Arabidopsis thaliana: one gene and its partner. The protein of the gene in region 2 purifies or fractionates together with the protein of the main gene of each other region. This does not show direct contact. Each region holds a gene or a part of one and is shown on either strand. Other genes may lie near its edges.

Evidence for each region.
Region 1: the proteins of AT5G15550 (region 2) and AT1G80750 fractionate together in Arabidopsis thaliana (co-fractionation; one large-scale study listed by BioGRID). This does not show direct contact.

What each region holds. Positions count from the first base shown.
Region 1 is NC_003070.9:30,346,632-30,350,555, reverse strand, and holds the start of AT1G80750 (Ribosomal protein L30/L7 family protein), read right to left. Parts: upstream 1,887-3,924; 5' UTR 1,675-1,886; intron 1,525-1,674; 5' UTR 1,505-1,524; coding exon 1,319-1,504; intron 968-1,318; coding exon 870-967; intron 773-869; coding exon 635-772; intron 531-634; coding exon 428-530; intron 341-427; coding exon 122-340; 3' UTR 1-121. Other genes in the region: AT1G80745 (Transcription factor TFIIIC, tau55-related protein), read right to left, coding at 2,235-2,356, 2,482-2,533, 2,630-2,680, 2,759-2,842; CMT1 (chromomethylase 1), read right to left, coding at 3,725-3,878.
Region 2 is NC_003076.8:5,060,221-5,064,144, forward strand, and holds the start of AT5G15550 (Transducin/WD40 repeat-like superfamily protein), read right to left. Parts: upstream 1,925-3,924; 5' UTR 1,784-1,924; coding exon 1,627-1,783; intron 1,385-1,626; coding exon 1,284-1,384; intron 1,170-1,283; coding exon 1,063-1,169; intron 728-1,062; coding exon 692-727; intron 578-691; coding exon 492-577; intron 359-491; coding exon 300-358; intron 221-299; coding exon 110-220; intron 2-109; coding exon 1-1. Other genes in the region: AT5G15560 (uncharacterized protein), read left to right, coding at 3,831-3,924. UniProt on the Arabidopsis thaliana protein: Required for maturation of ribosomal RNAs and formation of the large ribosomal subunit.

The DNA of each region.
Region 1 (3,924 bases), on a different chromosome or scaffold from region 2:
AATTTGGAATGCCCTTTAACCAAAATTGCAAGTGTTTCATCAAAATGGTTGGTTTTTAGCCTCGTACAGATCTTTTAAGGAAAATATAGTAAGTAGCTAGCGATTACAACGATTGCTGCTTCTAATTCATTTTGCTGATGAGATCATTGATCTTATCTTCGCGGTTTCCGGTATCTCCTCCTTCGCTGAAAACTTGTTTCTTCCGGTGCAAAACATCAGCCACAGGCTTGTTGAGTTTCAAGGGTCCCAAGAATCTCATAACTTCTCTGAAATGATCTCCGACTCTTGCTATCTCATTCACAAGGTCTTCTATGCCCAAGATTTTGTGTTCTCCTAGAGCCTAAGGTAACAAAAGTGGAAACGATTAAGAACAGCATGGTTATTATCTGGAATAAGCTCCTATACTTTTAAGAGTAGGAAATTTTACCTGTTCGATTATATTGTTGTCGGTAAGAGGAACAGGATTTCCCTCAATGATTGTGCATCCCTTTTTGTATATAAGGTCCTTAACACTCTTATCATTCGGGTATCTTCAAGAATCGTAAACATCGGTTAGCTCATACGAGAATAGAGAAACAGCATGGAAATCGAGTAACAAGGAAATATTGAAAGAGGATTGATTGTCTCTACGTACCCATAAGTGACATAAGGCTGCACTTTGAGAAGCTTTTGGAACAAACTGTCAGTTGCTTTAGCAAATACACCAGTAAAGACGCTCTTTAGTTGCAAATTGTTAAGAATCCTCTTGGTCTTTGGGTGCATATCATTCTTGCTGGTCACCAGAAAGAAAAGGCAAGGATAAGAAACAGGCAGAGATAAAGATTAAAACTCCAGGGGGAAAACAAAGCTAATTGGAGAATATCAAATACCCTTGAATGCGTATGATGAAAACCAGGTCAGATTTAACTGGTGGAGGAGATGACTTTGGCCTCTTTACTCTTTGCTTCATCCGGATCATATCTACTTCCTTAAGTAGGGATAAAATTAGCAAAAAGGGAACAGTTAAATTACAGAGAACAATGCAGGATTGACAGAAGAAACAACAAGTCCTAAGCACAACCTTGCAAAACTAGGGAGAAATCTCAAAGGAGAAACACAAAATTATCTGTAGAAAAGTTACAGTCTAAGAGATAAGTGACAAAACCTAATCATAAAGGTTGATGTATAGCTTTAATTTAACTCAAAGAATAAGCAAAAACAAGTTCTTCTAAGGTGTAGACAAAAGTCAAGAAGCAAAAATCAGAACTTGAGGCAGTAAAACGAATGGAAAAAGACAAAGCAAAAGTTTTTCAGAGAATCTGGAAAAAAAGAAGTGTACCTTAGCCCTGAACTCATGAACAAAATCTTCAGGACGTTTGATATCAGAGACTTTCTTCTTCTTCTTGCCGGAATTACCCAACTCAAGTTGCTTCTTCCTGATAAAGGCAAGCTCATCTCTGTTCTTCCTCTTCTTCAGTACTATCTCCGGTATGTAATCCAAACCCTTAGCTTCTTCCTCAGCCATTATCTCTCTACTCTTTGCTTCTACAACACAAAACAGATTGTCAGATTGAATTTTTTTGCGAAAAAAGTTTATAAACAGAGACTGAACTCAACCCTATAAGAAAGTGAGGCTATAGGGACACCAACAGAATGAACAAGATAAGAAGAACGGAAAAGGGGGAACAAATTTACCGGTGGCGGCAAAGCAATTGGGACGGCGGCTGAAAGAATTCCAAGTCGAAGTTGGTAGCAATGGCCGATTTGAGAAGCCTAGGGTTTATTAACTAAAATCTCTTTTGTGTTATTAACAACTTTGCCACCAGACCTAATTACGCTCCGGGCCAGACTCATAATACTATTGGGCTAAAAAAGCCCAATATTTATGGGCTTATGTAAGGCCTTACTGCCTTTGAATATACCTAGTTTTATTTTATAATATCTTGTGTGATTTTGTTTCTTTTAATTACATGGGATGCATAATTTCTCCATCACTGGTTGATTCAATTCAGTTTTTATTTTATTGACATCATCAGAAGGACAAATCATGAAAACGTACGTTGAAGTTGTGAATCGTTTAGTTACCTTTTGGTTTGGTCTTAGTTTGATTGCTACTTTCAAGAGGCCAACAAAGGAAGATGCTGCATGTGCCTTAGCTACATATATAATCTGTCGGTTATTGTTATAGTTCTTTTTTTTAATATGATCTTTGAAGAAAAGTCAGGTTTCCAATGACTTGAACAAGAGAAAAACTTTTACAAATTGGTTGTTTTTGTTACTCCATCTTCGTTGTCTAATGGTGCTAACCTAAACTTGAGAATCTTGTGGAGTTTGGCAACAGGTTCAACTGTCTTCTTCTGTGGCGTCTGGTTATCACCTTGTGCAAACAGACAAATGAAGAAACCGCAACCCCAAATCAGCATCTTGAAGGGACAGAATAATTACTTGAAACAATAACATGTGTTTCCATGTTTGATAATAAAGAGGAAAAGTGAAACTAACCTTTGTCAGAGAAAGCAAGGCATGTACCAATCGTTGCTATATATTCTCCTACCTGAGAGATCATCAAATCTAACACGATTAAGAATGGTTTAAGCAAAAAGAGTAACTGAACTTGGAAAATTGTACTAGTTGCAAGTAAGAGAATTACCAGCTTCATTTTGCCATCTATGGTCAACACCGGATTCAAAGTATCCAAACCCTATGAGAACCAAACAAAACCAAACTTATAAAACAAGAGAATGCAAAAAGTGAAATGAAAGAATTGGATTGAACTAACTGATAAAGTATAAGGAGCATCTGCTGGAATGTCAATGTGCCTTGAAACGTCATCAAGATCAATCATAACATGTTCATCCTCCATCTCTGTATCAATGTGTTTATTAGGGTGGAGAAGAACACAAAGATATTTATGAATCCTAAAACTTTCTCACTTTCTGAACGCGATTAGATCCAAGAAATTATCATTCTTACATCTCCTAAACAACAAATTTATGTTGAGAATGGTTCACCTCTTTCTTTTTTTCCTTTCAATCTTTCGAGCAAATTCGAAACCCTTCTTTAAGTGAGGGAATCGAAGAACAAGCCTGATGAAGAGGAAGAAACAAAAAAAAAAAAAAAGTAGATCAATTGGTTTCTCTGCTTCTTCTATGTGAAAAATTTGCTCTGTTATGAGATATCAAATTTGGGCCGAATATTATAACGTAAAAGCCCAACCGAAGGAGTGGGGACATTATTTGGGTGAACCAAATCTTTCACCATTATATGGGCTTGTGGGCCTAACTGCCTTCGAATTTACTTAGCTTTTGCGAATGAATGAATAACACTAATAAAAGCTGGTAAGTGGTGATCATTGACCAGAGTTTCGGTCGGTCGGTGGCAACTGAATTACGCAAAATCGAACCAATGTTCGTCGAGAGATCACGGACGTACCTAGCACCTCGGATGCTCAATAACAGGTTTTGTCTGTCTTTTGCTTGGTCTTAATTCTTGTTGGATGGCATCACGTAGGATTGAAGTCTACGCAATAGAATTTGAAATCTTGAGATTAAAAATCATAAGAAATAAAATGGTTCCAAATGATTATAAAGTCAAAGATAAACCAACAAGAAAGAGCTAGACAGTTTAAGCCGCCATTGTTTGAGCATATAGCTCTTGCTAACCCAAAAAATTAAAAGAAAGTCTAGAAAATGAAGTATGATTCCTAAAGATAGTTTCATCATGACGACTTGATGGAGACTGTCAATCAGATTTGATCCTTTGCCTGCATGCATTCGGGATACTTGAATGGCAGCTTGATTACTGGTTCATCATCCGTCAGTCCTTGACTCGCCATACCAAAGGCATATCCTAATGCAACCCCTACAGGAACTGCCACAGCATTCCCAACCTGGATGTACCTACAAAATTTAGATTCAAACCCAGTTTTTACATACATTAGGATCT
Region 2 (3,924 bases):
CCTAAATTCCATTATACAACAAAAAAAGGGGGTCAGCTTAGCTCGAAGAAATATAGCAACAAAATTATACTTGCAAAACACAAGTTAAGTGAAAGGAGTAACAGCAAACCATGTTTCCGGATTTCTGAGCTGAAACACTTTGAACTGACGCCTTGTGTCCACGCAATATCTTGTATGCCCTTACTTTCGTAGTAGAGTCAACAGACTCAGCTGGATCAAACTTCAGACAGGGAGAGATATCTTTACTTAGACGTAAAATAAACCTTTGGTTTTAAGTATGATATCTCATCCGTGATTACCTTAAACAATCTCAATGTCCGATCTTTAGAGGCAGTGGCTACAGTAACAGTTTCTGCATCTGGATGCACAAATCAACACAAAGAAAAACAAAGAATTGATCAATGAGCCAAAAAAGGGAAAATTTATTCTTGTTAGTATCATTTGCTAGTACAGAACAGGCATAGTATAGATTTCTCATGCGATGGTCATACCGTTGGAATTAACTAAAGCAACAGAGGAGATAGCCCCGGAGTGGCCTTCTAATATGTGTGAACACGATCCAGCCGAACTCCATACCCTGATCAGAAGAAAAACCAAGTAATCTAAGATTCTTGCAAATTTTGAAAGCAATACAAAAGGATAGAAAATAATCAAAAGCATATAAGATTAAATAAATAAGTCAAATGATCACCTTCCTAATCCGTCATAGCACCCAGTCAAAATGAACCTGCAAATAACAACAGCGAGATCAAGAGAACCACTAACACAATCATTAAAACCAAGAACAAATGACTATATTCATCCTTAGATATCATCCGGATCACTGGATGGCCTTGAATTGGAACAAATGAAGACTAATTCTAACAACATATGATATGGCAGTCGAATATATTAAACAAAGATACAGGTCTATGATTTTCCATATGGCAAGGTGGTTGTGCGTAAAAATGAATAAGAGTTTTTAATTCAAATTACTGGTGTCACAGAAGAAATAGTAAAAGACATCTAGCAGCTTAAAGGAAATTCTACATCATAAAGTAATGCAGTAGGAAAAAATATTACCTGGGAGAAGAACCATTAACCGCACTGACCCAATCATCATGCAAGGAGGGTTCTTCTTCCTTCCGTGGTGTCACAGCCCTTATGTATTCGATTTCAAGAGTACGCTCCTGTAAGAACCAATGAACTTAATTAAGTATATGTTTCCAAGATAAAGCACTATGGACTAATTCCAAGTACACTAGCTGGTGTGAATAGTGGAAGATTAAGATGAAACACATTACCGCCGATATTCCCTTTGCAAGAAGAAACTCTTCGAGTGACATCCGAATAAGCTCCCCATCAATAAGGAAATCAAACGGCTCAGTTTTCCACTCTGGATTCTCTGTTCATCCAAAAAGTCTCAGTGATGAATATTGCATAATCACAGGTAGAACAATAATATATGCTTTTATGTAAGCTCTCTAATTCATAAGTACAAACAAGTTCCTAAGCAGACCTAACAAACTCTCGTATGAGAAAGAGACCACTATTCCAAGTAACACTTAGGATTTGACAAATTTAAAGACAAAGACGAATAAATACTAGCATTCGAAACTGCAGGGAGAGATGGAGAGAAAAGGCTACCGGATTCGATAATAGAATTGACGATGGAAGAGAGGCCGAGACGAGTGACATTAGAAGGGATTGCGACGGAGTTGACCGGAACTTTGAAGGGAGAGTCAAGCTTCGTCACGAACTTAACGTGAAGTCTTCTAGATACATCTTCTCCGTCGATATCCATTTTAGCCTCTTAACTTCTCCGATGGCCTGTTACTGAGCAAAAAGAAGACGCGGAGATAAATTAGGGTTCTGCCTTGAGGCGATGAAGTGTGGAAATTTCACCCAGGCACAGGGTTTAAGGAAATTTAAAATTACGGAATTGACCTCCTTTTCCGGTTTAGATCATACCGAGGCTACTCAAACCAGAGAAATATGTGGTTCGACGAGTGAGAAGAGATCAATTTTGGGCCCAAAGCATTTGGATCTTTAAGATGGGCCGGCTCAGGCCTCTGTTTATACTTTTATATAAACCAAACCAAACCAAACCAAAGAAAATTGAAATAATCAAACTGAACCGAGTAAAATATTTTTCTTATCTTTTATATAAACACTAGATAAGGCCCGCCTATTTAGGCGGGTGTACCGAAAATTTTCAAATACTTGAACGGGTCTAAACTTCAAAACCCGAAAAACTCGAACCCGAACCCGAATAGATATCCAAACATATTTCAAATATAAGTATATATTAGTTATATTTATACTTATATATAGAAAATATTAGGATTATTTGGATATTTTAGTTATTTTTGTGTCATTTTAGATATATTCAAGCAAAACTACTCGTGTTGTTTTGGGAATTTTTGAAATTTTCAAGTAATTTAATAGATTTGCACACAAAATTTGATATTTCAATATATAAATAAACTCGAATCCGAACCCGAACCCGACCCGGAATCTTAAATTACCCGAACGGGTCCTAAACTTCTAAACCCGAAAACCCTAACCCGAAATACCCGACCTGAATACCCAAACGCCCAGGGCTAATAATTAATAGAAAAAAGAAATCCACAAAAAAATTTAGAAACCAAACATTGTTAAAAAATATATTTTCTATATATGGCGTAATCTCGTAAGTTAATTTTACATCATGCAAATTAATATTAAATGAGTTAAAGTTAATAAATGAAAATAATTGAAAAGTTAAATCCTGTAAGCTAAACTATTTTTCTCAAAATGTTTTATTTTCACTTATGATTACATGAGTTAAAGACAAATTTGTTAATTTTCTTTTTGTTGAATAAATGTCCCGAAACCTTAAATTACCCGAACGGGTCCTAAACTTCTAAACCCGAAAACCCGAACCCTAAATACCCGACCCGAAAACCCAAACGCCTAGGGCTAATAATTAATATAAAAAAAATCCACAAAAATATTTAGAAACCAAACATTGTTGAAAATATATTTTCTATATATGCCGTAATCTCGTAAGTTAATTTTACATCATGCAAATTAATATTAAATGAGTTAAAATTAATAAATAAAAATAATTGAAAAGTTAAGTCCTGTAAGCTAAGCTATTTTTCTCAAAATGTTCTATTTTCACTTATGATTACATGAGTTAAAGACAAATTTGTTAATTTTCCTTTTGTTGAATAAATGTTAATTGTTTATAAATATATAGACATATAAATTAGTATATGTAAATTTGTTTACTTTTTAAGATTTTCTATTTTTTTAGAGAATTAAAAAGTTAAATTTTGAATGACACATGTAAACATCTGATCGTTTGACTTGACACGTGGCACAATCCTATGAGTTAGCAACTTTGAAAACCATACTTTATATAATAAAATCACCAAATTTATTTTCTTGTTGATTAGTACATGTATTTAAGTTTTTAACCCATACTAATGACTTTTGTTTTTTTCCTTCTCGAGATTACTTACTTTTTGCTAAAAGTGGTGGAGTGGTCAATTTTGTTTTTTTGGTAAAAGAGTGGTGGTCAAACTTTGTTAACTACGAACTATTTTTGCTTACATAAATCCTAAATCGTTCCCGTGCACTTAACAACAGCCATTACAATGGCTTCAATAGTTAACAAACAACAACAAAACTTTTGTTGAGATTTTTCTTGTGTTCATATATAATCAAACAGCCTTTAAGCGCAAGACAAAACCCTTCTTAAAAATTCTTTTCTAAAACTTCTTATTTTCCAGTTTCTCTTCATCACAATATCAATTTTATTTCAGATTCAGCAATCAATTACACCACTCTATTCTTACAACACAATGGATGAAACACAAAAATCGAACAAATTGGTTAACCATATAGAAAGAAACATTCTTTCTCTTCTTTCGGTTAAGAATGATGATGAGAGCAAAG